Linked DNA regions of Callithrix jacchus. The protein of the gene in region 2 purifies or fractionates together with the protein of the main gene of each other region. This does not show direct contact. Links are inferred from orthologs where the notes say so. Each region holds a gene or a part of one and is shown on either strand. Other genes may lie near its edges. The genes, in order: SKI, SMAD1 and RUNX2.

Region 1 (3,634 bases), on a different chromosome or scaffold from region 2:
TCAGCCAGCCCCGGAGTAGGCACAGAAAGCGACTCACACGTACATTCCTCTCTGCTTTCAACTTCGACCTCAGCCTCCGAGTCCTTGTCCTCCTCCGGGGCAGCCACAGGCGCCAGTGTCTCTGGGACTCCTGGGGTGTCCACAGTCAGCTTCCGCTTCCGAGGCTGGGTACAAGCAGCGAGAGGCTCGGGGGCCCGGGAGAGGGCGGCAGCACACGGCGGGCTGTTCACAGCCTTCTGGGCCGGTGGTGCGAGAGCCACATTGGGGGCCACAGCCGTCTCAAAGCCCTTGTAGGAGTAGAAGCTGGAGGGGCAGGCAGGTGTTGGGAAGGTGCCTCTGTCCCCAAGCGCCACCCAGACCCATCCTGGTGGACACCCCCTCTGAAGGTGTTAAAAAGACTGGCCAAGCGCAGTGGCTCACGCCTGTAATCCCAACACTGGGAGGCCGAGGTGGGCAGATCACCTGAAGTCAGGAGTTCGAGCTCAGCCTGGCCAACATGGAGAAACCCTGTCTCTACTAAAAATACAAAACTTAGCCAGGTGTGGTGGTGGACACCTGTACTTCCAATTACATGAGAGGCTGAGGCAGGAGAATCACTTGAACCCAGAAGGAGGTTGCGGAGCCAAGATTGCGCCATTGCACTTCAGCCTGGGTGACAGAGCTGGACTCTGTCTCAAAAAAAAACGGCGGAAAGAGTTCCTTTCCCAGCTCCGAACCTTACAGGGAAGCTTTCGGTTCCTAAGGATCCATAAGCGTCTTCTGCTAGCTGGGTATCCCTTGCAGGTGGGACTTAGACTGACCATCGCATCCAGAGGCTGCACCCAGAGCACCAGGGAATGCTCTGCTCTGGGTGTGCCCATGCTAATGTCAGCCAAAGTGACCAGCACTGAGACTGCCTTGACCAAAAGGCAGCAGGTCTGGGCACCCGGCCTGCAGAAACACAGCGGGTCTGAGTGCGCAGCCCTTGTGGGGCCTCTGCTGTGGTCAGGAGCACCTGCAAGCAGCGCCCACTCACCTGTCTCGGATGAGGGCCGGGAGGTGTGGGGAGAGCTCTTTCTCACTCGCTGACACCGCAGGGGACCAGGGTCGGAAAGCAGAGAGGCGCTGGCGAGGATGAACACAGCCCAGGCTCTGTCGAGAAAGAGTCGTCTGTGTAAGTGACCGGAAGAAAAACAAGCCACTTTGTGTCCCCGAGGCTGCACCGGGTGCCAGCCCTTGGTAGGGGACAGGCAGAGCCACCAGTGCAGAGACTGCCCAAGAGGAAAGGCCCCGCATCCACCACCCCGAGGACCCCGACAGGCCCAGCAGCACCTTATTGGAAGAGCTGGCCAAGGTCCGCAGCCAGCTGGACGGCTTGTCCTTTTCGGAAGGCGCAGGGGACTGGGAAGAGGCGTCATCTGTTTTGGGTCTTATGGAGGCTGGGGGCTCAGAAGAGACCTGCGATCAATGAAAGGTCTTGTTGGCACCTCTGGTCCCCTGCGTAGGGTCCCTCCACCAGCCCCGTGGCCAGCACATGACTGTCAGAGCTCCAGGTACTCCGGCCACAAAGGACCCTTAGGGGCGCAGAAGGCAGATTCCAGGGCACCCCTCAGGAGGCTAGGTCTACTTTGCATAAAGGCCCTTGGGCCACATGCAAAAGGTGTGTGGAGGCTGTGCTGAGGCAGAAGTCGTTTCCAAGAGAACAGAGTGGACCTTGTCCTGCATTCCGGGTGACCTCACCCACAGCTGCAGTGGGGTTGGGGACGGAGCACCAGGACTCACTCTCCTCTTCCACAGCGACACAACCTGACCCCGAGTCCCCTTGTCCTTTCCTAGAACATGTGTTCTCAGAGAGTGCCCAGCAGGGCACTCAACTTAACCAGCCATGGTCCGGCAAGAGCCACTCCCAACGGATTTGTCTGGAAAGGGCGGCTGCAGCACAGGGGTGGCTCTTGGAAAGGGGATACCGTGCCCCTGGGGGCCCACTGGCACCGCAGCATTAAAGAGTGGGCATTCTGGCTGCCCCCCCGCCCCCCCAGGAAGCAAACATTTTCAAAACAAAGGACAGCGAAGGAGCCAGTTCTACAGGACGGCACCGCGCATACCTCTTCCTCCTTCCTTGCCAGCCACACTGCTGGAGGAAGCTTAGTAAGGTGCTTGGACCCAGCCCACCCAGAACCAGATGTTGTGTGTCAGGTGCCCGGGCACATCCCCCAAGAACCAGTGAGTTACACAGCTGTGTGCCAGGGCCTGAGTCGGCCACATCTAGCCTCAGGCAAACGTGAACTCCAGCACCGTGGCTGGAGAGCCCCAAGATGCGCTGGCTGCAAGGCACGATTGAAACCAAAGGACTCTTCCTCAAGCAAAACAACAGGGCGGTCTCTGGAAGACCAGCCGTCCCTCTACCACTGAAGACCCCAAAGGACAGCACAGAACCCCCAGGGCAGCTGCGTCAGAGTCCATACCATGAGCCAACACAGAACAAGCCTCATAAGGCAGGGGCCCTTCACAGGGGTGAGGTCCCCTCACTCTGCCAGGGCCAACCCCAAGTGGAGGCAGCGAGGTCAGGCGGTGGGGGTGCCGCACCTGTCCTCAGCCAGGAAGCCTTGGTGGGCAGAGCACACTCAGGCAGGGATGGGGGTTCTTCCCACCTCCAGGACTCGAGGAGAAGACGCTGTATCAGGAACCAGCCTCCTGAAGATGGCAGGGACCCTGCTTCCCTGGGGGAGAAGGGCGTGCAGGGGCAGGCCATCCATAAGGTGCCCCAATTACAGGGTTTTCACCACAAAACTCAAGAGGCTCAGGGGACAGGCTGGGCCCGGACGGAGAGCCCCAGGCCTCCCCTGCACCGACACCCACCCTGCAGCCCTCAGGGAACAAGCAGGGTGGGGCCCGGGGAGGGGCAGGCAGCGGCTCTGACCTGAGCCCAAGGGAGAAAGGTATGTCAGGCACACAGGGCCCTAGAGGCAGGGCGGGTGTGGGGCAGTGGCAGCCCAAAGGCATCCAGGACTGCAGATGGTTTTTTTCAGACACAAAAATAACCTTCAAGAAAAAAGACGCTGTAAATACCCCCTCTGTGGTGGCTTTTGAGGGGAAGTGAGTGTTGGTGACGTCTGGTGGAGGCCCTGACCGCAGGGCGCTGCGCCTGTGCCCAGCAGGGGTGGGTGCCATCCTAGCTGCAGCAGAGAGCCCCTTCCAGAATCATGTGGACCCTCCCGAGAGGCACAGAAGGCCAAGGCCACCCAGCCGAAGAGAGCTTCCTGTCTGAGCAGCCACTGAAGCGGGCGCAGAAATTCAGCTCAGTTCTCACCTGGGGAAAAGCCACAGCAGCTGGTGCTGACTCCAGGAGACCTCAGACACCCTGTGGGAAAGTGTCAATGCCTCAGGCAACTCCCAAGAAAGAACACCAGCGCCTAAGAACACAGCTCTGCCTGGCGGGCCCCCAACAGCCACCCTGCAGAGGTGGTGGGAGGACCGTAGGCCCATAGGTTCCCGGGCCCCATCCGCTCAGTGGGGGTGGCCGAGGGCCCTGCAGATCTAGAGAGCTGAGGCAGACGGGCTGGGGGCCATCCTTGGGTCCAGAGCCCCTGCGGTCCACCTGGGACGGGGAGGCTCCTGGTCTTGAGGGACCCTTCGGAGACACAACTCCACTAAG
Region 2 (4,302 bases):
TTCCACTATAAACAAAACCCATGTACCACCCATATCTGAAGTATAACGCCAGACTCCTGCTTAGCTACCCCTGTAATATGGTTTAATTATGATGACTGAACTAATAGGCTGACATCATAGACTTTTACAGGCTGACCCCATGTCATCCTGATGTATCATTTTGCACTAGTTCAGTGCTGTAAATCAATTTAAGATCTCAAGCAGGTTGAAAAGCCTGGTAATGATGCTTTCTCTGCAGTCTCTGGAGACTCTACATTATACACAACTTACATTATTTATAAAGCCTCAGTGATGCTTCCATTAGCTTTGTAAGACTACACAAATGAGATCTGTTATACACACACACTTGGCCTTGATTATGGAGGCTACTGCAGCTTAAACATGTTTGTCTAATTACACCCAAGTTACTTCTTATTTTCAATCTACTAAGTTATTAGATTTTATCTTTAACCCAGAATTGCTAGAAATCGAAATTACAAAGTGAAATTTAGTTTTTAACTAATAAATGTAACAAATGCAGTTGAGAAAATGTGACTTACTTCATCTTACTGCCTTACTAAACTTAGTAGAAATAAAATTAAATTCCAAGAAGTCTTAGAGGTCAATGTTTTTTTAATTGCCTAAAAACTGTCATTTCTCTAAAACACAAAGATCATCAGCTCTTCAAGGATATGAAACCAAAGGATACAGCAAGAGGAAAAATGTATTTGGTTACATACCTATGGTTGCAGGGGTCAAAACTAAATCAAGGACAAATCCCTACCCTCAGAAGAAACCCGATCCTTCCTGGATCCTCTAGAGCCTCTGGCATCACCCACCTCCAGAAAAATCATCTTTCACAACCCTAGTTAAACTTTACTAAGAATTGCAGTATTACACCACCAATGATACACCACCTGCACAGAAATATCAAATAACTGAAAATGGGAGAGTGGGAGAGGGCAGAACAAACATTTTAATCAGTACAGCATATTTAGATCTGGCACCTACATCAGAATAACACTGATGCAACAATATTTATACCAATTGAAAATGCTGGGGCAGTAAACACTGGTTCTGTCCCGATTCTTTTTTAATACAGCTCACCTACCTTCAATACAATTTAATTACAAACAAGATGAAAAATCAACATGGGCAGGGAACAGTTTTCTCACTGTGTTACTGAAATGTGGGCAAGTTACCCGCAACAGGCAATTAGAGCCAAAGATGTTCTTATTGAAATAAAGGCATTCTGAGATTTAGCAGCTGAGAGTTCCAGCAACAGGAAGACACAACAGAAATGCAACTTCTGTATCATTCCACGTACTTTGAAACTTCAGATGCAGTGGAAAGGAGAGAAAGACTGGGGAGCGGGCGGGGGGGGGGGGGACGTAGAAAAAGGACAGTTGTCTCGGCACTCACGAAAATGATGCTTTCCCAGGAGATGGTTCTGAGATCGGTCTCAATTTTCAGAAACGCGTCTTTACTGGTTGTCTTGCACCGTCTATTTAAAAATTGCATGCGCTTCAAAATAAACAAAAGCGCAGCTACTGTAGTTGTGAGATCTGGCAGGCATTTGTTCCTCCTCCCCTCCTAACGCACATCATCAAGGAAACGTTCTCCCTTTAAAGCCTTCTTACAGATTCAGCAACTAGAAAAACAAGCCCACGTCTGTCTCTCACGCCCACCACCCCCACCTTCCTACAGAAACAACCCCGAGAAACACTAACAAAGACGGGGAGCAGAGTAAAGGAACAGTTGTTCAACGCGAACTCACGAATACACATGCAGTGAGGCAATCGACTGCGGTCAAGGGAAAGGAATGAGACACCAGGAGACGAAGCGGGTGTAGGCGGAAGAGGAGGAAAAAATTACGCGCCGCGGCCAAACCTTTGAATAAATTAGAGGGGATTTCGGTGCGAACTTTCCTTGACCTCGACCCCAAAGAGGCTCGCTAGGGCCGAGAAGGAAACCCGTGCGGGATGTGGAGGGGTCTGGGGCGCCAGGGTCCCCCGCCCACGAGACCCGTTCCTCCAGGCGCCTGGGAAGGCAGCGCCGGCGGCCGTTCTCCAGCTCCCGCAGGGGTCGCCCCGCCGGCGCGGGGACACAATGGGCCCGGGGCCGCGCGGACTGGCCTCGGCCCGGCTGCAGCACCGGAGAGATGTGAGGAGCGCGCGGAGAGGGAGCGCGGCTGGGGAGGTCCCGGCGCGGTCAGGCCTGAGGGCCGAGGCTAGAGGGGGCCGGGAACTCAGCTTCCCACAGCAGAAGACCCAACAAAGACGCCGGGGGAGCCTGGCGGGCTGGGCGCGAGGAGGAGAGGACGCGGTGGCAGGTTCGCTCCTCAGAGCAGCCGGGAGGCGCCATCATGGGGGGTGGGGGCGTCGCGGTCCGCCCCGCGCGGAAAGAGCCCCCTCCCCGCCGCCGTCCGCGCCCCCGGCCCCGCAGGACCGCGGCGGCCCCACGCGTACAGAGGCGTCAGCTCTGGAAAGCCCGGGGCGCCGAGGGGAAGGCGTGGACGCAGCATGAAGGGAAAGTTGGGTTCGGGTCTGTTTCGTTTTACCGGGTTGGCGGCGCGCCCATCCGCGCGGGCGCACGAGTGGCCGGGAGAGCGGGGTCCCGCGGCCCCGGTCAGGCCGGCCTGGTGCTGCGCCGCGCTCCGCTCCCAGGGTCCCTCCCGCGCCTCGGCCCGGGTTGAGCCGCTCGGCCTCTCCTTCCTCCGCCCGCCCTTCAGCCCGCTCTCTCCCGGAGCCTGGATTGATCTGGTCGCGCTGGCGTCAGGGAGTCGGAGCCGCCCAGCCTCCACTCCTCGGCTGCCAATGCCCGGCGCACTCGCCTGCCCGCCCGCCCGCTCACACGCTCACCCGCGCGCCGCCGCCGCTGCCGAGCGACCAGGGATCCTCTCCAAATTCCCGGCCCGGCCGGCGTGAGCGCAGCGCGGCCTGGGCTGGAGGACGGCGAGGGGGAGCGGCCCGAGTCACCCCCTTCCACCCCCAGCCCCACGCTCCGTTTATTCCTGGAGAAAAAACAGCGTGGCGGCGTTCTGGCTTTCCTAACCCTGCCTTCTTTAGTCCCGGTAGAGTGGACTTGGTGCATTATCTGCAAGTGAATTTCGATGCTCCATGTGTTTATTTTCTGAAACGCTCATTAACTCTTCTGTAAATATGGAATGCATGTTGACAGTTATCTTTCGAGACTGGCCCTTTGATGTCTAGTTTTCGTTGTCCCTTACTCACTCTCCAATAATTTGCAGGCACCAGAAGCTGAACGTACCCAGAAGTGGTTAGCTAGTAACTACTGCACGTGCTTATACAAACCCTGGGTCAACAGATGGGTTTTGTGTCAACTCAGGATACAATGATTCGAGTAGGTAACCTTGTTGCTCCAAATAATAACATGCCACAAGGAGATACTGCTTTAGAACTCTACATTTTGGTCCAATTTCTACAGTCTTTTAGATGATGCCAACACCCCGAAAACAAACTTAACTCTTACCTACCTGATCTGCATGGACATTGAAAGTATCTTCTTGCAAGAGTCAACTTTTCTCTTGGCCAACTCTCTGGAAGCTGCATAAAATCTTGGATAATTACCATAACGTTGAGTGACGTTTAGAAAAGAATAATTTTTTGAGGAATAAATTTCACATGAAGCAAAAAACATCACTCCCAGCCATGTGTATCCAGTGTATCATTAACATATATCAATGTATAGTAAATTCCTTTTTTCCTTAAACTATTTGCGCCCTTACTGGTCAATTCGTGGAATTCATCCTATTTTCCCTAAAAGCAGCATTTGATGCAGTTGGTCATTCTCTGCTGCTTGGAACAACAGGAAAGTGAACCTTCTTAAATGCCACTCAGATTAGGCCACTCCCCTGTTGAAAACTCTCCCTTGATAAACAGTACAAAATATCCCATACAAGAGAACATTATTCAGCCATAAAAAGGAATGAAGTGCTGATACTGATGCATGTGACCTGGATAACCTTTCAAAACATGTGGAGTGAAAGAAGATAACACAGTAAGACCACACATTGTATTCTTCCACATATCTGAAATGCTCAGAGTAGGCAAGGCTATGGAGACAGAAAGTAGATTGTTGGTTTGCATAGGGTTGAGGAATTGAGGAACCTGGGGAGTGACAGCTAAAGGTCATGGGGTGACAAAATTGTTCTAAAATTAGTTTCTGGTGATGGTTGCACAGTTCTGTGGATATACCAAAAGCCATTGAATTGTACACTTTAAATGGGTCAATCATTTGATATGTGAATTTTCCTCAAGCTATTAAAAAAAAAAAAAGCATGACAATGAAATGCAGTATATG
Region 3 (4,321 bases), on a different chromosome or scaffold from region 2:
TCCATGGGTCACATCTGTGATTTTTCAGCAAGCTATATTTATGATAAATAATGGACAGATTTTGAGCTGTACAGATTGAAAATTTTTAACTCAAGGTGAAGTATGCTGAGGGATCAAGGACACTGAGACATATTCTCCTACACACACACACACACGCACACACACATACACACACACACTCACTCATTGTATTTGAGGTGAGCCAGTTGTTAATATGTGATTTGTTTCTCACCTAGGAAAAGCCTAAACTTTAACTATTTTACAAAATTAGAGCACATACGTATGACATCTCATTAGTTCGTTGTGATAATCATTATATAATAATCTAAAGCCTGAAGTGAGGTTTTAGACTTCACATAGATTATAGAATGGGGAAATGTTTGCAATGTGATGATAACCTATACATGATGTTTACTACTCACCTGTAATTAGTCTGAGGTAGTGGGTTCATGTTAAGTTCTCAATTGAGGGCTTAAGATACTGTTTGGGAGCTGGGAAAAGGGAAGGTGAAACCCACTTTTCAGAAGAGGAAGAATTGGTTGTAATGTTAAAAAGAAGTTCACTACTGTGCCTTACTTAGAATTCGGTCAAGTTTTGGAAATTTTAATGTAGAATAGTTATTAAGAATGTTACAGAAATATAAGATCCCTGTTATGATAGAATAAGAAGCATTTTAATATATTCTTTGTGACAGTTTTAACAGATTCTTTGTGTAGCTATACTTCTAATACTGAAGAATTTTTTGAAACTTTTGTTCCTGATCCAGTTTTTAAAATGTATTTAAAATGTAGTTAAACACAGTGATATTGTTTAAGAGTAACTTAACTGTCTCTGTTATCCCTCCCTGATACCTCTGTTATCCCTGTTTCAAATGATCCCTCTGTGTAACAGTAGTCTTTACCATTCTTTATCCTTTTATCTCTTTGGTAGTAGTAACAAAAGTTTCAATGTATTAGGTATAATTATGCTATGTGTTATAATGTAGTCTAGCTGTATTTATGTCCTGCTTCCTTAATATAGGAATTTTTAGAATGATACTTAGTACGCATCATTAAATTTTTAAATTAATCTGGATTATTATATTGTATATATTATAACTTAGGGGGCCCACTTACAGTTATTGAGGGAGTCACTACAGCAATTTTACATTTTTTTTGTAAAATACTGTACATTTTCATTACCCTATAAGAGAAAGCATTTTTTCTCCTTTGAAGTTTTTTATCTTTGACCTAAACTAAGACTGATCCTCTAGTAGTAGCCAGTTAAAGTGCGTGAAGTAGGAGGAGTAAAGGAAACTCCAGTCATTAGTTGTAAGTTAAAAGCAAAGTTAATATAGATGTACACAGCAAAAAAATTTAAAGGATATGAGAAAAAATTTTAAAAACTTGCCTTGTATTGGAACATGTTGGACGTCATAAAGAGAATCTTGTAAGTGTGTTTAAATATTTTACTATAATACATTAGCTGATGAATGTTAAAGTCATTTGCATATCTATATCAACACTAAGTTGAAATTAAATACTAGGGACTATATTATGCCTGCTTCTTTTAAAGGCCAGTATGGTTTAATGGTTGTGGCTTTTAAAAATCATATGGGATATCCTTATGGAGCTTTATTTTTTATGAGACTAAACAGCAGTATTCATTTTGGTAGGTCCAAGAATGTGATTAAAAGAATCTTAGACGTTTCAGTGTTTGCTGTGTGTTTATAACAAGGTCTACTATGGATAACAGTGTGTGGATGTAAAATTAAAATTATGTAGAAAAATGCAGTTGCATATAAGTTTTAAAATACTTCCATGAACTTTAATATCCTGGGAAACTATAAAGATCTTTTAAAATTGGCTATGATGTGCTTATCATAATTTTGTTTCAGCTGAATGTATACTTATATATGGTTGTTTAGAAACAAACATTTAGATAGGATATAGTTTAAATTTATAAGTAGATTTCTTTTAGTTGAGCTGGTTAAAATGTTAATAGTATTACAGGTTTATTTCTGTGTTTTACATGGTAGACCATAATGTTGAGATAATTCTGTGGTCTGTTATTTTGTAAAATTGTTTCCTTTTTGAAGTTTGCTCAAATATTGGGAGCTGCCGGAGTCAATCATTTATAATGCTTTGATTAATTTAGAATCTGATTTTTCTTCTGGTGAGGGTTAATGAGAGTATTAAGCTGTTTCTTTTACTCTTTTCATATCCTCACTTCTGTAACTCTAGAAAACATTTTGATCAATGTGAGATAATTTAATTTTGTCTATTTCAAGTCATTACTTTGAAAATTAGATAACATTACAGATACCAAATGCAAATAGATACGGAAATTTCGTTTTCAATTCTTAATGCAACAAGATAGCATTATTAAGATCTTTAATATATTACTTGGAAAAGCTAGCAGTTTAAGAATCATACCTTTATGTTTAACAGGTTCATATCTTACAGGATTTAAAAATATGATAACACTTACCCCAAAAGAAGTTTTGCTGACATGGTGTCACTGTGCTGAAGAGGCTGTTTGATGCCATAGTCCCTCCTTTTTTTTTCAGATAGAACTTGTACCCTCTGTTGTAAATACTGCTTGCAGACTTAAACTGAAAATACAAACCATACCCAAACTTTGTTTTAGTTTTACAGTATGCCTGGAGTACATAGACTTTATATTTATTTTTTTCTGTCAAGAAATTATGTAGCTGGTAACATGTGAAAAGCAAAGAAACAAAACAAAAAGAGAATGAGCAAATATTTGAAGGACCTACTATTACTGCATAGACTGTGGTTAGAGAGCACTCACTGACTCTGTTGGTCTCGGTGGCTGGTAGTGACCTGCGGAGATTAACCATTTAAAAACCAGAGACTTCTTGCTGTCCTCCTGGAGAAAGTTTGCACCGCACTTGTGGTTCTGTGGTTGTTTGTGAGGCGAGTGAAGCATTCACACAATCCAAAAAAGCAAAAGCTTTAAAACTCCTTTTTTTTTTGCAAGCACTATTACTGGAGAGGCAGAATCATGTGGTTTGTGACCTCACAGTACTCAAAGTAAAGTGGGACTGCCTACCACTGTGGCTTTTCCCCCTTGCTCTTTCTTTCTCTCTCTTTCTCTCTCTCTCTCTCTCACAAAAGGCTTGTGGTAAGGCCTTTCCTGGCATCCAGAAGGATATAGCTTTTTAATTTTTGTGACTCATGAGGATTTGGATAGAATACAAATGCTGAAGGAGCCCAAACTCCTGTAAGGTTAAGCATTTGTAGAGCAGAGTTCTGCAGTTAAGGACTTTCCTTTCTACTCTTCCCCCCCAACCCCTGCCTTTTTGCCTCCTCTTTTTAGTTCATTATTGTGTCTGTGGATAAATGAACAAAATTGGCTCAAGAGTCTGTGTGAAATTCTGAACAACAGTGATGATTTACAATAATTTACATCTTTGGACTGTATCACATTCTGGGGTCTGCTTCATATTTGCTGGGTGGCTGGATTCCTTCTGTTTTCCTTTTTCTTGTCTTCTTAAACTTGTGAATCTGTAACTCATTGTAAAAAAAAAAGTTTACCTTAAGGTCTGGTTGCAAACTGCTTGCTAGGCTTGACTGTAATTGGCTGTCATGAAAGTGTTAGTCTAGGCATTTTTTTTTTTACAAATTTTAAATTACAGCTGTCTAGTTTATTATCAATATTTTAGATGGCGGCCTTTACAATAACGATTAAATGTAATCTTTCATGTATACCGTTATCTCATGCCTAGTTGGAAGATCTTAAAAAAGTGAATGACAGGAATTGTAATATAGTTTATTGGATGAATCTTAGTTTTCTTTATGATTGTAATAATTTTTATCTTTCATGGAAGCGTATTCATTTTATATCATTCTTTAAGTAGTTTGGATGTTAACAAAGTGTCTGATAGCAGATCTTCTATAAAGTAAAATGCTTATGTTATAATGTAGATATTCACTTTAGATTCTGTGAGCTTAGAATAGAGTGGGTTAACAGAAGCTATATTTTTTTGTTTCTAAACCTTTGAAATAAATTACAAAATCCTGTGTGTAGTAAGGAATAATGCCCACAGACAGAGTATGTTAGTCGTCTCGATTTGCTAATTCTGATTCAGAAGAAAATTGGAAACATCTTTGGGAAACTATCTCCTTTTTTGCCCCTTTGGAGAAGTATGTATAGAACTCATTTTCTTATTAGGATGATTATATATTATAGGCAGTGGATTTTATATTTATGAATAGAGCTTCCTGTTTTCATCAGTTAGGAGCGATGGAGTATTTTTCAACAAAAATTATAAAGGCGAACAGACCAATTTTCTAGGCATTTTTTGCCATTTATCCAT

The links.
Region 1: the proteins of SMAD1 (region 2) and SKI purify together in Homo sapiens (affinity purification with western blotting, with the first as the bait; 3 studies listed by BioGRID). This does not show direct contact. The link is inferred for Callithrix jacchus from reciprocal best matches to the Homo sapiens genes SMAD1 and SKI.
Region 3: the proteins of SMAD1 (region 2) and RUNX2 purify together in Homo sapiens (affinity purification with western blotting; 3 studies listed by BioGRID). This does not show direct contact. The link is inferred for Callithrix jacchus from reciprocal best matches to the Homo sapiens genes SMAD1 and RUNX2.

The regions. Positions count from the first base shown.
Region 1 is NC_133508.1:40,346,242-40,349,875, reverse strand, and holds part of SKI (ski oncogene), read right to left. Parts: intron 1,438-3,634; coding exon 1,312-1,437; intron 1,132-1,311; coding exon 1,016-1,131; intron 304-1,015; coding exon 38-303; intron 1-37. UniProt on the Homo sapiens protein: May play a role in terminal differentiation of skeletal muscle cells but not in the determination of cells to the myogenic lineage. Functions as a repressor of TGF-beta signaling.
Region 2 is NC_133504.1:51,521,750-51,526,051, forward strand, and holds the start of SMAD1 (mothers against decapentaplegic homolog 1), read right to left. Parts: upstream 2,926-4,302; 5' UTR 2,841-2,925; intron 2,741-2,840; exon of another isoform or gene 1,402-2,740; intron 1-1,401. UniProt on the Homo sapiens protein: Transcriptional modulator that plays a role in various cellular processes, including embryonic development, cell differentiation, and tissue homeostasis.
Region 3 is NC_133505.1:53,756,630-53,760,950, reverse strand, and holds the start of RUNX2 (runt-related transcription factor 2), read right to left. Parts: upstream 2,934-4,321; 5' UTR 2,932-2,933; coding exon of another isoform or gene 2,843-2,931; coding exon 2,470-2,842; intron 1-2,469. UniProt on the Homo sapiens protein: Transcription factor involved in osteoblastic differentiation and skeletal morphogenesis. Essential for the maturation of osteoblasts and both intramembranous and endochondral ossification.